Linked DNA regions of Arabidopsis thaliana. The protein of the gene in region 1 interacts with the protein of each later gene in a biochemical or structural test. Each region holds a gene or a part of one and is shown on either strand. Other genes may lie near its edges.

Region 1 (5,517 bases):
GGTAATGCCTTAATATCCCTATACAAAAAGGCAATGTATATTGGGAAATAAAACATTAATTGTCATAGTAAAAATAATACATATTACAAAAAGTGATTCGATATGAATAGTTATAAAGTGATGAAACATCAAAAACGTTTGAAATGAATATAATTTATTCAGAATATATATTTTTTATTTATTTATTCAGAATATTCAATATGATACGTTAAAAACTTGATTTTAATAGATTACTAAAATGTAAAAAAAAAACTGATTTGAATAGAGGCTACTAACATTTAAATTTTACTACCCATGTTATTTGAATAGAGGCTAGCATGTAATGGATTTAGCGGAATAAAAATGTGAAAGTTTGACGAATGCTATGAATACAAAAAGAAACACTATGCCATTCATACCATCATGAACAAATGCTCTGATTCAAAAGGAGGCAATATGGGTATGTCGATTTGACAAAATGGTCGAAGTTCTTAGGGAACAAAGAGATTTGAGGTCACAATGCAAAATCCAAATATCTTTATTTTTATTTATTTATTTTTTTGTTAAAAGGGTTTTAAAATCCAAACATCTTGTCTAAAGAAATTGTAAAAGACACTTCAACAGAAGATGCCTTCCAGAAGCAAGCAAACAGAGTTGAGTTTCTCAATCTCGTTCCATCATGACCACTAAGCCAATACATGTATGTATGCATCTACGTAACGTATGCGTGTATATGTATGTGCATGTATGTGTGTGGGATTTGGAGGAATGGGAGAGAAAGAATAAAAGGACAAAGGAAAGAGTCATGTAAGAACATTTTGGACATTGACGTCTCTAGAGACGCTTGGATAGCCATTAAAGTGCGGCTATGGAGTTGTCCACGTCTTACTTCAAACTATGATGGCTCAGCTTAAGAAGATGCATACAAAAACCTCTTTTGTTTCCATTCGTTTTTTCTTATATGAGAATGTGGTAAATTCTATAGACGATGTAACACAAGCTATAGAGAATGTATATAATTACAACTGGAATTAGCACACTATTTGTTTATTAATGCCAATGGTATCCCAACTCTACATAAAAAAAGCTTTATAGCAAAAAAAAAACTCTACATCCAAAACGCAGATGCATGGACTGATGGACATTGGTTAATTACCCAAAGGAACAACATTTACGTACCACTGGGCATCCAAACATATAAGCGAATATCACCAAAATCCAAAATCTAAGAAATTTCAAAAAGCAAGAAGTTATATATATGTGTCCATTGCTTTGCCAAAATCTAAGAAGTTATAGATTAGGGTTTCTAGAATAGATAAGCATCGAAGGGATCACAAAACTGTAAACCAAACTGAAATAAATGTTTATACCAAAAACAAAATTTGCTTCTTAACCAATTGGTTTTATAAAAAGAATAAGAATTTGAAACCGAGTTTAATGTAACCAGTCGATCGGACTAAACTAATTGAGATAAATATAATCATAATGTACATTTTAATTTATTAATACAATAGATGTTAGTATAACTATATTAAAATATTATTAGTTCAAACATTATATTTATATAATATAAAGTTAATTTCCTAACTAAAACCAAACCGAATCAAAACCATAATCAAACTGAACCAAACTAATCTGTTTTCACATTCTATATAACCGAAACCAAACAAACAGATCGGATTTTAACCCATACCTATAATAAAACGCTGTCGGTTTGAATTCGGATATATGGGCCCAAATAAGTTCAGTCAAGTAATGGGCTCAAAGCCCATAAATATATTCTCTGGCGCCGCCAGAAATGGAAGAAACCGAAACAAAGTTTCTCTCTCTCTCTCTCTCTCTCGCATAACCTTTTCGCCGAAACTCTCATCTTCTCTTAGCCGAGAAAATTCAGCCACCACCACCGATCAGTAAGTTCTTCGTATTCCTCCGTCTCTATCATCGAATCATTATTTATTCAATAAATTAATTCCATTTCTTCAAACCCATGTTTTTTGGTTGGTAAAGTTTTCATTTTTATCGTCTCTCTGTTTTTCAATCTCTCTTTCAGTTTCAGATTTTGGCATGGGTTGTACTGTGAGGGAGAAGCACGTGAAACCGACCCGTAGGATCAAAGCCGCTGCATTTAGATCCGACCCACCGTTATGTTGGGTCGAGAAGATTGCTATGTCACAATCAATTGTTGAGAACCTTGTTTATCATCCTGGTCTTACTGATTCCGGTTCTGTCAATTTGAATTCCGTTACTGAGAATCCTGAGGAGAATTTTTGGGCATATTGTACAGAGGAGCATTTGGAAGAGATTTTGCTGAAACATTTGGAGTTTTTGTATAATCAAGCTGTTTCTAAGCTTCTTGAATTGGGCTATGAGGAACGTGTTGCGTTGAAAGCGGTTTTGAGTAATGGACACTGTTATGGTGAATTGGATGTGTTGACTAATATAGTGAATAATTCATTATCTTATTTGAATAGTGGTGGAGGTGGAGGTGGGAGTAATGGGAACGGTGAGGATCGAACGGAGACTGGTTTTACGGATTTGAGAGATTTGGAGGAGTATTCGCTTGCGGGTATGATTTACTTGTTGCAACAAGTTAAGCCTAATTTGAGTAAAGGTGATGCAATGTGGTGTTTGTTAATGAGTGAGCTCCATGTTGGTAGGGCAAGTACTCTGGATGTCCCAACGAATAGGTCTAGTTGTTGTACTAAGGAAGATAGCAATGTAGAAGATGTTGGTACGGGTGGTACTCTAGATATTGCTGGTTTTATGGCACCAGCGTTGTGTCGATTCCATGGAGGTTGGGGTTTTGGGAATGGGGGAGGACCTGAGTTTTCTGGTAATGGGTTTTCTATGAAAGGTGCTGAGTTGAAGTTGCAGAGAGAGATTGATTGTCCTAAAAGGTTTAATCTTTCGCCATCCATGAAGTCCTTGTTGAAGCGGAATGTTGCAGCGTTTGCTGCTGGGTATCGTGCTAGTATGAAGCAGAAGCAAATACAGTCGTCTGATACTATTGGTGATAGCAAAGCTTGTAATGATCCTGCAATTGTGAAGAGTTGTGGGCAGCAACCACGTAAGTCAGGGAGTGAAGAAAGTGTTAGTACGGTGTTGGAGAAATTTCGTGATCTGAACCTTGATGATAATCTGGAATCGGTGGGTGTGGATGATAAGGATTGTGTGATAGTCGATCTGCTTCATCAGGTTAAGGATTTCGAGAAGAAAGTAAAGGAAAGGAAAGAGTGGGCTCAGAAGAACGCAATGCAAGCCGCACAAAAGGTCAGCGAGGAATTAGCTGAGCTTAAAACATTGAGTAGTGAAAGAGAAGGAATCCAACTGCTGAAAAAGGGGAAACAGGCTGTTGAAGAATCAACTGCGAAAAGATTTACTGACAAGGAAATTGAACTCAGAAAAGCTTGCAGTCAAAATGACAGGGCCAATGTAATTGTAAGAAAGCTTGAGAATCAAAATGCAGAGATTCGAGCAGAGCGGGAGGGATCCAAATTAAGTGCATCAGAATCGCTTAAAGCGTGCATGGAAGCATCAAAGAAGGAGAAAAAATGCTTGAAGAAGCTTGTGGCATGGGAGAAACAGATATTGAAGTTGCAGGATGAGATTACAGCTGAAAAAGAAAAGATTAAGGCCCTATATAAGACTTTAGCTCAAATCACAGAGTATGAAAAGGAGATTGAGGTACGTTGGTTCATATTATATTCATTTATACTGTGAAAGTTCTCTAGATCCTCTATACTTTTAACTCTAGAATTGTGGGAAGTACATTTACTTAGGATTCAAAATATTTACGTACGTTATCATTTGAGGCACACATCTAGTTGCGAAGTTGGTTCTGTCTTAGATGGTAGTATGCCATAAGACTTCAAAGATCATTCAAGAGGTATAGTCTGTGTCTGCCACATATTTTGCTAGGGTAGATGGAACCTGGATTTGATATGAATATAATCTTGGAGAATCCGTCTCGAGTTGTAGAAGCCAAATGATTTGCTATACCTATTGATATGTTCCACTGGATAGCTTTTCTCTCTACATGGTGGTCTATATTTTCTTTTCGTTCCTGACGTTTTACCTGTTTGCGCCTTGCGGGTACGTTATCTATGTTGCTGCACATTGTGTTCAAAACCTTGCTCTAGATTTGCTTACTTGGACTGTGGTTGATGACTGATAATTGAAATATCAATTTACTTTACCTCAATTAAACATGGAATGATGGTTAGTCTATCAACTTCTTTTTATATTTACCTGTTCATATGTTATTTGCAGGCGAAATGGAGGCAAGAGCAGAAGGCAAAAGAGGAGGCTCTGGCTCAAATGGAGGAAGAACAACGCTCAAAAGAAGCAGCTGAGGGTCACAACAAGAGAAAGCTTGAGACTTTACGACTCAAAATTGAACTAGACTTCCAAAGACACAAAGACGATCACCAAAGACTGGAGCAAGAACTCGGTCGACTCAAAGCCTCTTCAGATAGTGACTCAAGCCACATATCCAACAACGCTTGGAAACCCAAAAAATCTCAAGGAGAAAACATTGCTAAGCTGCTTGAAGAAATTGATAAGCTTGAAGGGTCTTATGACAATGAAGCAAACTATGATCGAGAATGCATAATCTGTATGAAAGATGAAGTCTCTGTGGTGTTTCTTCCTTGTGCGCATCAAGTTGTGTGTGGTAGTTGCAGTGATAGCTTCTTCGCGAGCAACAACGGCGGAAGCAAAGTCACTTGTCCTTGTTGCCGAGGTTTGGTTCAGCAGCGAATCCGTATCTTTGGAGCAACCTCATAAAAGCAGAAATAAGCTTCTCTTTGGGTTTCAGAGAGATCACCACAACTTCAGGTTTTACTTTGTAAGTACAAATAATATGTTTAGCTTCTTCCTCAGAGCTTTTTACACTCAGGAAATTTGATTTTTTTCGATGAAAGATCTTTGCACGATGTAAAATAACTTATTATCGTGATTATCTTGATGAATTCGATTTGGAGGAAACATGCCTCTCTAGTTTTTACCAAATAAAAATCAACTATCGTTTGGTTTGTTTTTGGTTTTGTTTGGTTAAACCGGATTGGACACTTGTTAGCAAAACAATGACAACCACAAGTTCTTGAAAACCACAATTATTGATGCTTTGTCTACTTTTCTTCTTGTGGGTTTTGTTGTGTGGCCGTTACTTGCAAGAAAATGGCTTCGTGTGCCATCTCAAACTCATTTCATACTGTAACCTTCAAGACCTTGAAGAGAATAAGTCCTTACAACAGTCTATTCGGTTGGAACTCCGGTAAGAAAATAGACAATATCCGGCCGCCGCAACAACCGGCTTACCACGACGATGTCGAAATTCCTTTCTCTCTTTCAATGGTAAACAAAACCTTCCTAAAAGGTAAATAAATTTATTCCCTTCTTCTCAATCTAAGTCCTTGTAGCAACATGTGGACTTATATATTCTACCACTAGGAATAAGTATATTTCTTATCTAAAGTTCTTCAACTATATAACAATCTTTTTTATTAGGAAGAGAGTTAAAATGTTGCTACAAGGCAA
Region 2 (5,061 bases), on another chromosome or scaffold:
AGAAGGTAAGGGTTTTGATTAATTCTACAACGTTGAGAAAATTTTCATCAAAATTCCAATGCAGGTTTAAATTTTAGAACCTAAAGCATTCAATCATAGAAACAGACTTGGACCTCACTTATCATGTCAAACCAATAATCAGAACACGGTTTTGGCCAAAATGCAACCACATATATCAAAACTTCAAAAATCTTTGGTCTGAAGATTGCTCATTTTCAAATCAAAACAGACTCTAACAGAGGAAAATAAGCGAGAATGAGACTCACGAACCTGCTTGGCCTTGGCCATGTACTACAATGGCAATGGCAATGACGGAAAAAAGGATGAGAAAAACAGAGTGAGCTCCCATGTTCTTCTTATTTTGTAAAGCTCAGCTCATCATCGTCAGAAAAACAGACAACCTGCGTTTAAGATAACACAAAAACACAAAAGACTAGAAAGTACAAAGTCTATGCCCATTTCCTCTTCTGGTAGCAACAAAATTGACCTGGAGGTGTATAACATAAGTGCTGCTCACGACTGAAAAAAGCGGCCAAGAAAGAATATAAAATGGTAATACAGCTATCAAGAAGTAACCAGTGGGTCAACAACTAACGCATGATATATATATAACTCCAATAAAATATTATAACAAAACATAGCCAAGCTTGGACATAGCCGACAGATACAAAGAAAATAAAAATCTTTTCTGACCACAGAATTTGTAACCGAGTTTTGACATTAGATGATTGGGTCACATAGAGAATTACAGACTGTTGCAACCTTTAAAACCAGAAAACTTAAAAGGATAGTGAAAAGATTTTTTACTTAAGCTATTGTTTCTTTAACTGTTATGCTGGAGAGTATTAGAACTAAGCTTCATCTTGTACTAGCTGCTTTGCGGTATCAGCTTCATGGGATGAGCTCAAAGGGAATGATGATAACTCTATGTAATCAAAGTCCTCAGTGATTCCCGCCTGAAAGTTACCCAGCTGATTTAGTCTCTCCTTCATGTATGAGAATGTGAAATGTGGAATTTATAGCCTTTTGAAGTGAAAAGATCTGGAAGATACCTCCGTGTATAGATGTTCTAGCTGTTCCTTGGCCTGGGGGAAGTTGTTTGAACACCATTGTCGCAGTGTGAAGATGTTATCTGAGTAAGTTTGAAAGAATTATAATCTAGGCTGCAGTGAAAATTACGTAAGTATTAAAACTGAAAACACATTCCCAAGTTTTAGAAATGAAATACCTGTCCATCTGTTAGCCGACTGGTGAGCAACTTCAATTGCATTCCCTGTCAAAATTAGAAGGAATATACACATTGATACAGCTAGTAAAGCACAAGATTGATTCTTATTTCTGCTCCACGAAGACCGGGAAAACCATATAGGAGATCTAACACAAAACAAAAGTAACGTATTATGCAGAACTTAACTCTTTGCCTCCAAAGTAGCTGGATCGTTGTCAGCAAATTGTACCATCTCGTTCTGTTTAAGAAGAAGAAACTGTTAGCAACTTGTTAAGCATGTGAATAGCTCTATGCAAACAGATAGTCTGTATAATCTGACCTTCAGATCTTTGTGTTTCTTTTCAATATCTTTGAGTTGCGTCAAGGCCTCTGTTCGTTCCTCCTGCAGCAAGAACAGCAATTCTGGTGAAAAGCACACGTAAGCTTATTCGAGCATTAATTCTACAATACTGAAAATACTTACCGATTCTTCCCTTCCCTTCTTTAGGGCCTCACACTGATCAACAAGTTCTGCTAACCTTTTGTTACTACCCTGAAGATCAGATTCAAGTTTCTGGCGAACACTCCTAAGCTGTTCATTCAAAATGAGATCAGAAACAATGAATTTCGCTATGCTCAAATTAATATGAATCTTTTTGATGTCATCTCAGGATACAGAACGGTGACTCACTTGATTGCCAGCACAGCTGGGAAGGCTCCAAAAGTAGATCTTCATTTGCAAAATAATGAACACCGTCAAACAACATATAACAGAGACAAGGACTATATGGCAACAAATGAAATAAAAAGATCCAACATAGGAACACTAAGCTACTCACAGAAATTCCAATCTTGTCTTTCGCAACAAGATCATCATCGACTAAACTCTGGATAACATCTTTCACAGACTGACTAATTACACCCTTCTTCGGCCCCATCTTCTCAAGTTCCTTTAGCTGAAATTTTTTTACAAAAGTAGAGACCCATAAGTGCTTGTATCACAAACCCAAAAGTTCAATAGCAACAAATTTAGGCAGTATATGCACTTCACGACTCTAGATATCAGATCACTTGGTAGATAAAGCTAGTTCAAAGGCGTCCAAAAATTAGCAAGTTGTAAAAACTAAAGAAAGTGCTCACTAGGAAGAAGTCTTGAGACTCATAGAATATCTGAAGCATCTTCTCTCGTTTCTCCTCCAGCGAAAGTCCCCGTTTCTTAGACTGAATATCATCAACAATAGAAAGCAGCGATTCAGTTGATACGAGAATGACGAAAAAAAACTTCAGAGCTTCAATGACGAAATCCAACAAATGATCTGTCAACAAATAGTTTCCAGATCGAAAATGTCAAAAATATATACAGTCAACTCAGCGACTACACTGATTGCGAGAATTGGCTGCTAGATAAATGCTAATTCGAGAACCTATCGATTCGCGTCATGCAGTCCAAGTGTTTGCGGAAATTCCTCACACAAATTTGTAATGAACTACGGAAGATAGAAACATTACTACCGATGAACGATAAGTTTAAACAAATTTCTTCGAAGAGTAAGAGAAACACATAACGATGACTACTAAACATTCAAACAAATAGGTCGAATCAATACATCCAAAATTCTCTTGTAAGTCGAAGAATCACAAGCTAAGATCATCAGTGTAAGATAATCACGATTCATAGAATCATAGAGAATAATCACTCGATCTTCCCAGGAAAATGCACAAATCACAGAGGTTCATTAGCGAAACAAAATCACAAGTAGAGAACATTCGTCCAGAGTATATTACCATCGTGATCTCTTGCTCCTGGTGATGCAATCCAAAGGATTTCAAACACTGCTACAGCTCTCTCTCACTCTCTTCCCTCACTATCGTCTCCTCTCTTTATCAAATTCGAAATGAGAGAATTGTAGAAGAAGCCTTGAAAACTTAAGCGGGTTATTATCCCTCGCTTTCTGTTTCATTTTTTATTCCAATTAATTTGAATTTAACCTTAAAACGACACGGAGTCCAATTTTATGGTACCAAAACGGCATGATGTTTGTTAAAGCAGCGAAGTCAACGTATATGGTTGACTATTCATGAGTAGTCTTATCAGGCGAAAGTGATGAACATAGGAGTAAAGTGATTATTAACCAAAGGAAAAAGTGTCATAAAAAGATACAAAAATTACAAAAGATAAATTATGTGAAGAACACTCAAATTGCAGATAACATTAACGACGGGGATTATAAAAGTTTTTCGCTCCGAATTAATCTGATTCAGATCCTTATATACATCGTCTGTTCGTGTCTATCAATGCATACATGTCTCTGCTCGGAGAGGTGAATAACCTGCAGTTAAACCAAGCCAATTGCAAAACTAGTTAAATTACAAATCCATAGTCTGTAAGCAAATTGATTGATTTTGCTTTGATTATAGATAGAAGAGACCTTAGAGGGCCATCTCAGCCTGTAATGCAGCGAGTTCTTCTTCCTCAGCAGTCCGCTTCTGGGGAACAGGACGAGCCGGTTGACGCCCTGCAGGCACTGGAACTGAAGGCAATGGAGGAGCTGTTGTTGCCGGCTGTAGAAGTTGCGATTCAAGCTCTTCACTTTCTAGTTCATCAAGCTCTGCTGCAAGCTCATCCTATCAAAGAGAAGTTTTTCTTAGACAAAAGTCATTATTAGTTGAAAAATATATGATCATTTGGGTACAAGAAAGTTACCTCGTCGAAGTCAGCCGCTGCCCCCATTGGAGTCGCCAATGCTTCTTGGATCTGTTTCATGTTCTCGGTTTGCTCATTGATCTCGTCCATGGTCTTATCCACATCATCAATATTTCTGCAAAATATTGTGTTTTGAGTTAGTCAGGCACTAGAAATGTTAAAGCATTCAAGCACAAGAAAAGCATAAGTATTTTGAATACCAAGCTCGTATTAACGATTCCCAGAACTGATGACGGTTAAAATGGTAGTAAAGAGTAATATGGTGAAAATGTGATGAACACTTACGTTGCTTTCTGCATTGCCTTCATTGCAGAAGCTCCACTCCTCAATGCATCAACAGTTTCGGTTGTTGCTTTTGCACCTTCTAACATAATCATCTGTATGACAAAAAGATATAAGATCCCAATAAATTCATCTAATTACTGCTATATAGTTTATAGTTAACAATCTTAAAACAAACTCACTTGATCATGAATACGGAGCTGGAAATTCCCAAGCTGTTCGACTTGTCCCTCATATAACCTCTTCCTTTTCAAACACTGTATAGCCGCTGCAAAAACCCAATACAGCTTTTAAGTACTCCAGTGATTAGCAACACACATGAGTCATAATAAATAAGAGGTCATACCTCGTTTGTTCTTAGCCCGGGAGTATTCTTTTGCCTTCTCAACCTCTGCACCAGCTTTCTTCAAGAGTACTTTCTCCTTTTTCTCTAGCATCTCAAGCGTCTGCAATGAACAAATCAACAAAATTTGAATATGGTTTAAAAGCAAACGATCATATAAATTGTACTCAGAAATCCCCAATTCAATCGTTTTTGAGTATTAAATATAAACGAGAATCGGATTTGAAGTGATGTCTTATGGTGATTTAAGTTTAAGATTAAACAAACAGTACAGAGATCAGTACACAGAGAGATCGATATTTCTTTCAGATCGAACGTAAATTGAGAGAGAGAAGTAGATAAGTAGATGATACCTCGTTAAGCTTGTCTAAAGTTTGGAGAGCATTAGCCTCCTGCTTGGGTTTCCCGAATAGCCGATTCATCATGATTTTGCTCCCACTTCGATCTCTTCTACCCCAACCGACACGATCACAGGTTACTGAAACAATTTTCCGCGAATTAAGAACCGATCGATCGATTAATCTA

What was found.
Region 2: the proteins of AT1G32530 (region 1) and ATMND1 form a complex in vitro, tested with the Arabidopsis thaliana proteins (one study listed by BioGRID).

What each region holds. Positions count from the first base shown.
Region 1 is NC_003070.9:11,758,913-11,764,429, reverse strand, and holds AT1G32530 (RING/U-box superfamily protein), read left to right. Parts: upstream 1-1,794; 5' UTR 1,795-1,889; intron 1,890-2,029; 5' UTR 2,030-2,043; coding exon 2,044-3,663; intron 3,664-4,248; coding exon 4,249-4,764; 3' UTR 4,765-5,003; downstream 5,004-5,517. Other genes in the region: AT1G32520 (TLDc domain protein), read left to right, coding at 5,158-5,356, 5,488-5,517.
Region 2 is NC_003075.7:14,380,919-14,385,979, reverse strand, and holds ATMND1 (Mnd1 family protein), read right to left. Parts: upstream 3,145-5,061; 5' UTR 2,996-3,144; coding exon 2,993-2,995; intron 2,524-2,992; exon of another isoform or gene 2,429-2,523; coding exon 2,348-2,428; intron 2,164-2,347; coding exon 2,047-2,163; intron 1,938-2,046; coding exon 1,899-1,937; intron 1,800-1,898; coding exon 1,692-1,799; intron 1,611-1,691; coding exon 1,548-1,610; intron 1,467-1,547; coding exon 1,415-1,466; coding exon of another isoform or gene 1,410-1,414; exon of another isoform or gene 1,274-1,409; coding exon 1,229-1,273; intron 1,133-1,228; coding exon 1,053-1,132; intron 957-1,052; coding exon 852-956; 3' UTR 515-851; downstream 1-514. Other genes in the region: RHS16 (root hair specific 16), read right to left, coding at 271-349; SNF7.1 (SNF7 family protein), read right to left, coding at 3,638-3,832, 3,912-4,026, 4,197-4,288, 4,376-4,461, 4,540-4,639, 4,890-4,961. UniProt on the Arabidopsis thaliana protein: Required for proper homologous chromosome pairing and efficient cross-over and intragenic recombination during meiosis.